Canis lupus familiaris: one gene and its partner. The protein of the gene in region 1 interacts with the protein of each later gene in a pairwise test. Links are inferred from orthologs where the notes say so. Each region holds a gene or a part of one and is shown on either strand. Other genes may lie near its edges. The genes, in order: MTFR1L and ARMC1.

What was found.
Region 2: the proteins of MTFR1L (region 1) and ARMC1 interact in binary tests that used the Homo sapiens proteins (3 or more experiments, as listed by UniProt). The two-hybrid records come from large-scale screens. The link is inferred for Canis lupus familiaris from reciprocal best matches to the Homo sapiens genes MTFR1L and ARMC1.

What each region holds. Positions count from the first base shown.
Region 1 is NC_049223.1:73,526,852-73,531,221, forward strand, and holds the start of MTFR1L (mitochondrial fission regulator 1-like), read right to left. Parts: upstream 2,872-4,370; 5' UTR 2,719-2,871; intron 2,319-2,718; exon of another isoform or gene 2,160-2,318; intron 1-2,159. UniProt on the Homo sapiens protein: Mitochondrial protein required for adaptation of miochondrial dynamics to metabolic changes. Regulates mitochondrial morphology at steady state and mediates AMPK-dependent stress-induced mitochondrial fragmentation via the control of OPA1 levels.
Region 2 is NC_049250.1:15,786,837-15,790,647, reverse strand, and holds part of ARMC1 (armadillo repeat-containing protein 1), read left to right. Parts: intron 1-2,846; 5' UTR 2,847-2,884; coding exon 2,885-3,067; intron 3,068-3,811.

The DNA of each region.
Region 1 (4,370 bases):
GAATAAACAGCCAGTTCTTGTCAGTCTCACTCTACTGGGCTACAGGGAAAAGAGCCAAAAAATTTTATCCTGCTTAGCCGTCTACTGCTCTTATAGCCTTAGGCAAGTCCCATAACTTTTCTGAATGTTGGTTTTTCCATATGTAAAAAGAGGACAAGAGCTCCCTTCCTAGATTACCTTAAGGATCATTCAGTGAACTAGGGGATTTTAAAGTGCTTAATGAACTCCTGATTGGATTCTTCACAGCTGCTCTCGTCTGGTGAGCAGATGCAATCAATGAACTCATTCTCTTGTTCATCAAATGTAACAATACCTACTCTGTGCCAGGCCCTGAGCTGGGTACTGCAGGGGCTATGGAAGGATGCTCTCAAGGAACTCACAATATGGAAGAGAAATAGGACTTGAATACAGAATTCTAGTAAAGACTGAATATCATTGCTTAAGAAAGGTACATCTAAGCAGGTGGCCAGGTGGGTACAGGCCCCTGACCCCAAGGCCTCACGGCGAGTTTAAAGGGGTAGGAAAGGATGGAAAACAGCAACAATCGTACAGGTCCCAGACGGGAAGTGAGAGGGGTGTAAAGAGGAAGAGAGAAAGGTAAACTGAGGTTCAAGTCATACGGGCTGGGAATGCTCAGGGGAGAAGTCACTGGGGAGCCAAGGGCAGGTTCTGAACGGGACGGACTGAAAACTCCTGCAGGATTTCTCTCTCACCTGAGGGAGAGGAGTTATCACTCACTTCCCTATACAAAGGAAAAGAAGCTGGAGAGAGGAAGTGTCTAAGGTCACTAGTGGTCATGCTAGTAGAAAGCACTTTAAGTCTGGTTTAAATTGTGCTGCCGTCTGCGTGGGCTCAACTCCCTGCAGTTCAAGGCTTTTATCGAAGTCCCTCTGTGTGCCAGGCTCTGGGCTGAATGTCGGTGCCGCCACAAGCTCCACAGAACTTCTGTTTCTCACTCTGGACACTACAGCCACTTCCTCTCCTCCAGACTTCCCCCCAAAGACTCATTTAGGCCTAACAACAGCCAGAGCCGTCTTTCTAGGACACACTGCTCCTGTGTTTAACACCCCCACGGCTCGCTGCAGCCCACAGAGTACCATCTAGACCCGGAATGGCCTGCAGGGCTCTCCACAATCAGCCCCACCTCACTAGACCAAACTCCAAGGCCCCCCGCACCGCTGGACAGCGCACCTCCCGGCTCCCCGTGCCCCTCAGCCCTTCAGCCGAGCGGACCGCCTCTCCGCCCCCATCCACACTATCCTCTCTGCCTCAAACACCAGCACCTTCTTCACAAGCTCATCACCTCTGCGTTCCCACAGTCAGGTCCTTACCGCCCCTCTCCCCCAGCGCCCCACGTTTCCTTCTGAGCCCTCACAATGGTAATCAGAGCCCCGTATCTGCTGCCTGTCGCAGGGCAAAGGCTTCCCAAGGCGCAGCACCGGAGCACGAACCGAGAACTCCGGTTGGGCCTTCACCCCCCTCCCCGCCCCAAGGGTCCTGGGCTAGACTTCCCCCAGTCCGCTGGCAATGCAGGCTGGTTCTCATCAGCCCTGCGCGCCCACGACGCCCCTTTCCAGACCGCCGTCATGGCCTGTGCACACACGCTCTCCCGCAGGAGACTCGGGGCTCCTCCAGAGCAGGGCCTGCGCTCATCCCTCCGGGCCAGGCGCCCCGTCGAGGCCGCGGCGCTCGGTGGAACTTGGCGAGCGACAGCCTGCGTGGGCCGCACTGGGGGAGCCGCTGCGGGGACCTTGCCCGGGACACGCCTCCCCTCCCCCGGAACGGCCCGACCCCACGGGGCCAAGGTCGGCCAAGTCCTCGCCGCCGGCACCGGCGGCCCTTGGACCCGCAGGCCCGGGCGCTGGTCCCAGAAGGAGCGAGGCGGCCGCAGTGGCCCGGCGGGCCGCGGAGTGCAGCGGCAACGAGAAGCCTCCGCTGTCGCGCGGCCACCGAGGCCGGGAACTCCGGCGAGCAGCTACCCCCGGGCACCGAGTCCTCCCACCCTCAGCCGGGCGAGGCGGACAACACCGGCTCCCGCGAGAACTGGCGCGGGAAGAGGAGCCGCGAGCTCCGCACAGCGCCTTGCGCTAGGCCGCGTCGACAGTCGGGCGGGCAGACCGCACTCCCGCCTCCGAAGCGGCACTCGGACCTAGTCTCACCTCAGACTGGGCTCCGGGACTCACCTCACGGCCCCTCCTACCGCAGCGGGCAGCCCAGCCTCAACCGCCCTCACTTCCGCTGACCCGCCCCCGGAAGCGATCCTTGGCGGCTGCGCACAGGGCAGTGGCCCCGCGCGCCCTCGGGAGGCGGCCTCGGTCGGGGCGGGGCGGCCTCACGGGCGGACCCGAGGAGGGGCCACGCCCACCGCGGCCACGCCCACCCGCGGCCACGCCCGCGCTGGCCCGGCCTCTGGGAAAAGTCGACGGCGCCTGGAGATCCCGCGGCCGTCTGGGCCGCATCGCCGCGGGTCTGCGCCTCGTTGCCGCTGTCCCTGGGTAGTCCTGATCCCACCTCTAGCGGCCGACGTTTGGCCACGTCGCCCGCGCCCCAAATGGTGTGGCGCCTGCTGTCCACTGGAGAACGGCCGCCCTGGCGTTGCAGGCCCCCGGACCGACCCCTGGCCTTGCCTCATCTCGCCCCGCTCCGCTCCTCACACTTCGTGCTTCCCAGCCAAGGCCCTCCACAGCCTCCTGGCCATCTTTCTCCTCGGACTCCTACCGTAGTAGCTGTCTTCTGCGTATCCCACACGCACAGGGCAGATTCGGTGAGATAGGCTGGCAGGCAAGAGCCCAGGGGCATTGGGAAAGGGACCCGCTCTCCTTCCGGACGCCCCTCACCCGCTCCCTCTTCTTGCTTAAACCCTCACGGCCGGGTCCTCGTCCTGGTCTCCATGGCATCCAGGCCTGGGTCACGTGCCCTCCTCTGACCTCAGCAAACAGCTGTGCCTGCTCCCAGGCTGCGGTTCTTCTGTCTCAGAGCCTGCAAGTCCTAGCGGCCAGGGACAGGCTGGCTTCACGGGGGACAGTTGTGGGCAGTCACACAGGGCCTCTTGCTTGCATGCTCTACTGTTGCCCTCTTGAAACTATATTATTTATATTCTTATTCTACATATATGTATATATATGTATAAATATAAAACAAGGGGCACTACAGTTTTCATTTTGCACTGGATGGATCCTGCAAGTTACATAGCTGTCCTGGCCAGAGACCTCAGAGTTGTCCACCCAGATCCTATCCCTGCTTAGCATCTTTCCTTTCCCCATTCTTCGTCATCTTTTTTTTTTTTTTAATTTTAAAGGCTACTTAAAAAAATAATCTTTTTTTTTTTTTTAAATCTTTACACCCAACATGGGGCTTGAACTCACAACCCTGCGATCAAGCCACATGCTCCTCCACCTGTGCCAGCTAGGCATCCCTTCTTCACTCCTCCTTATACAGGTTTTCCCTGAAGTGTATTCCCTCCAAAAAAAAAAAAAAAAAAAATCCCTAATGCCTGTCTTAGGCTCTGCCTCTAAGACATTGGGTAATGAACTTCAGAATCTTTCTCACCATTCTAAAAACAGTAGTAAGTTCTACTACTAGGTCTATCACAAAGTTCTTTAAGAATGCCACTTAAGGGACACCTGGGTGGCTCAGCAGGTGATCCTGGGATCTGAGGTCAAGTCCCACACCAGGCTCCCTGCATGGAGCCTGCTTCTCCCTCTGCCTGTGTCTCTCATGAATAAATAAATAAAATCCTAAAAAAAAAAAAAAAAAAAGGAAAAAGAATGTCACTCAAGCCCTCTAGTGACAGAAAAGATAGTCCCCAAGACTTTCCAGCCATGCTCCCTTGCCCATGTGCCGAGCCAATTCCACAGAGGAGTCAGACCAAGGATAGAACTGACCCATAACCCGCTCAAAGGAAAGGCACTGAGAACCATCCTAGTCTCTCCAATTTTATTATAGGACGTGTGGGGAGGGGAGGGGAGTACAGATGGGTAGCAGGAGGGGCCTGGAGGCCCTCCCCCACCATGAGCTTCAGGGCACAGTGGGGGACAGGAAAAGGTAGGAGATGAAGATGAGAAAGCCAAAGCAATCAGTGCCTTACAAGGGACAAGGACTGCTCACTGTGGGGCGGGCCCTCCTGGACCTGCACGAGGGGAAGAGCCTGCTGGGCATCGAAGCAGAGTGTCTGCTGCCTCCGTGTGGCTCATGGGATTGGCTGTGGCCACCCATGCCTGGAAGCGCAGAGACAGACCTACGTGCCCTCCCTCCAGTAAGGGGAGTGGAAGCACAGCCTCCCAGAAGGACATGAACTTGGCTGAGCTTGCTGGCTGGAGCCTCATTTGGTCTGGAGATCAGAGGGGAGTGAGGCATTTTGGTCTGAAAGG
Region 2 (3,811 bases), on another chromosome or scaffold:
TGTCTGTGGGCTTTGGAGATTGGAAGTTTTAAGTTTAGGCTTTTATTCATCCCAAAGGAACAGGGAAGGCCATAACTTTTTCAGCGTTATTCCCACTGAATAGTTATCAAAGGACTCCGATAAGAATGGAGCTCTCCAGTTCCAAGGTCAGAAGTGAATGCAAAAGGACCTCTTCCAGCGTATTTGGTTCTTAATGTAACTTGGTTCTTGGACCTTTTAGCCAGTAATTGGTTCTTCAGGTTCCACTTTGGTTAAGATTTGTGCTGGTAACAGCACGTAAAGCTCTTGGTTAAGGTGGTTTGTAAACAGGGATATTGAGTATGCTGATAATAGAGGCACATAAGAGGCAGCATGCCCCCAAACCTGTTAATCTTATCTCTGTGTGTTCAGTCTATTGCTTTTTTAAAATATTTTTAAAATTGCCACAGTAACTATCATATTTTCATTTTGAAAATAACTGTCAGATTCTGTCTTGCTAAAGCCCTGTTTCCTCTGAGTCCTTTATTTTGCACTTGCTTGTATACTTAAAATTTATCATATTTTATCTTGAGTATGGTTTTCTTTTGCCATATGGTATAAATTATTTTTTTAAAAGATTTTTATGTATTTATTCACAAGAGATACACACACAGAGAGGGAGAGAGGCAGAGACACAGGCAGAGGGAGAAGCAGGCTCCATGAAGGGAGCCCAATGTGGGACTTGATCCCAGGACTCCAGGATCACGCCCTGGGCCAAAGGCAGGCGCCAAACCACTGAGCCACCCAGGGATGACCCATGTGGTATAAATTAAACTTGCTTAGCAGTGATTTTAAATTGCTTAGAAGGCATTCCAGTACCATTTATTGAGTAATCTTACTATTTTTTTTATTAATATTTTGCTCCATGTAACTTAACACTGTTATGTATTGAGCATTTACAATGTGCTAGGCACATTGTATATTGTCATTATATCTAGATCATACACCTTTGGTAGCTGCTATGATTAGCCCTATGTTACAGATGAAGAAACTGAGACAAAAGAGTAAAGGAATTGCTTGAAATCACATTTACCAAGTAGTGGAGCCTTGGTCTGACTCACTGAGCCTGCTTTCTTATATTGAATGCATAAATAACTTTCCTGGGAGAAATACCTTCCTACTGCACCTCAACCAACACCCCCCCTACCACCCCCACCCCCGCTTTACTATTTATAACTTTGTATATTTCAATCTGGTGAGGTCAGTTATGCATTATTACCTTCTTCCCAAAAAATAACCTGTAATAGTCTTTTGAGTAACAGAAGAATTTCTGCCCCTTCCTCCCCTAATTGGTATTGTTTTTGAAATTGACACTAAACTTATTTTGATTCATGGAAAGTATTTTTGGCACTAAATTGATTCATGGAAAGTATTTTTACTAATAGGAATATACTATGTAACTTGGTTAATGGAAATTATTATTTTTAACTTTCTGCACAAATGAAGATTATTCCTTGATATTTTGTTTCTTAGGTTTTTGTATGTTTAACATGTTACATTTTCTAGCATATCAAGGTTTACTTTTATGGCAGAAAGGTATGCAAATTTAAAAGGACTGTATGGATGGGCACCTGGGTGGCTCAGGTGGTTGAGTTTCCAACTCTTGCTTTTTAAAGTACTGTATGGAGAAAAGTAAACAAAAAGACAATGGAAAGTGGAAAGACTGTTGATTAGGAGATAAGATTTTAGCATACTTTTTTTTTTAAGGTTTTATTTATTTATTCATGAGAGACACAGAGACAGAGAGAGAGAGGCAGACACATAGGCAGAAGGAGAAGTAGGCTCCCCACAAGGAGCCCAATGTGGGACTCAGTCCCAGACCCTGGGATCCTGTCCTGAGTCAGAGGCAGACACTCAACTGCTGAGCTACCCAGGCATCCCTTTAGCACACTTTTATACTAACTAGCTTTTGTCACATGGGGCAAATAATTTAACTTCTTTGTGACTGTTTCCTTATCTGTTAAATGAATTACCTCGGGCAGCCCAGGTGGCTCAGTGGTTTAGCGCCGCCTTCAGTCCAGGGCATGATTCTGGAGACTAAGGATCGAGTCCCACGTCGAGCTTCCTGCATGGAGCCTGCTTCTCCCTCTGCCTGTGTCTCTGCCTCTCTCTGTCTGTCTCATGAATACATAAATAAATAAATGTCTTAAAAAAATAAATGAATTACCTCAAATTGTGTTCCATTCTTCTGAATATGGCACACTCAGAGATGAAAAGGTGTATTACAGATTCAGTTCAGATTCACTGTGATCTCTAACTCCTGGGGCCTGAGACACAGGGTGAAATATGAGATACCCTTCTTGGCTTTCTTGTTCATAGCCTTTTTTGACTCCCTCCTTTTTCCTAGGGGATTTTATCTTTTGTAAGCCCAGTATGCTGGGTTTTGTTCATAGATGAATACGAAAAAAAGCTTTCAGCTAGACGACACCTTTCCCTGAGACACTTCTTGTAGGCTCCAGAAGTGTTCTAGAAAAAAGCACTGGCAGTGGTAGAATTTGAGAAGTATAGTGAAGGTTATGAGCTTTAACTGTAAAGATCTTGTTTATTATGACTTTAGTGTTAAAATATGTATTGCTAAAATGGAATTTATTGGAATATTGAAGATGACATATGTTCTTTAAATATTGTGCACATAAATAACTTGATTTTTTTTTTTTTACTTAGCTTCTTATGTTCATTTTACTTAAACTGTGGAATTGCCAAGTCTCACGTTTTTGTGTGATTTAGATTCATCTGTTCTTTCTAAAGGTGTTGTAATCCTGATTATTTAACAAATGCCATAATGTACCTCAGCAGCCTAGAGCTAATTTTGCAAACCGTTTCTACAGAATTTAAGAAGATTTGGTTCATGTGTATGGCATAGAAGATGAATTCTTCGTCCTCCACCATGAATGAAGAACCTGATGCTCTCTCGGTAGTTAACCAGCTACGGGATCTAGCAGCAGATCCATTAAATAGAAGAGCCATTGTCCAGGATCAGGGATGTCTGCCTGGCCTTATTTTATTTATGGACCACCCCAACCCCCCTGTTGTCCATTCAGCTTTGCTCGTAAGTTGCCTTTAGTAATTTCAGTCTCAGTGTTATAATTTTGCAATTCAGAAGATTTTGAAAAAGTGTTAGATGACATGGTAAAAATTAAAAGTGACTATAGAGAAAAAAAGTAGACTATAGAGTAAATAGTAGTAAGTATATTTCTATATGTGCAAACACGTATGTGTGTGTATAGTCCTTTGACACAAATGGTAGCATACTGCATGGAATGTTCTGCAACTTTCTTCATAAGAAATCTTGGACTGTATCATTTCAGTATGGATAGACACATTAAAAAGATATTTATTGTTCCATTTTTATTTTGTAGTACCTTCATTAAGGTCTGAATCACATGCTGTACAAGTCACTCAAAGTGTATCATTCATTGTTTTTTAATGTATTCACAGAGTTGCACAGCCATCAACCCAGTCAATTTTAGAACATTTTCATCACCTCAGAAACTTCTCTACCTATTGCTCCCCAACCGCCTACCTCCTTCCCTAAGTAACCACTTTCTATCTCTGTATTTGCCTATTTGGGCAAAAATGCCTATATATTTTTTTACATAAATAGAATCATGTTATATGTGGGTTTTGTGAATTCTTTCTCTCAGCATAACGTTTTCAAGGTTCATCTATATTGTCACATGTATCAATACTGCATTTATTTTTGTGTCCAAATAATATTCCATTGCAGAGAAATACCACATTCTCCTTATCTGCTTATTAGTGGATAGACCTAGCACTTGTTTTAGTAGAAGAT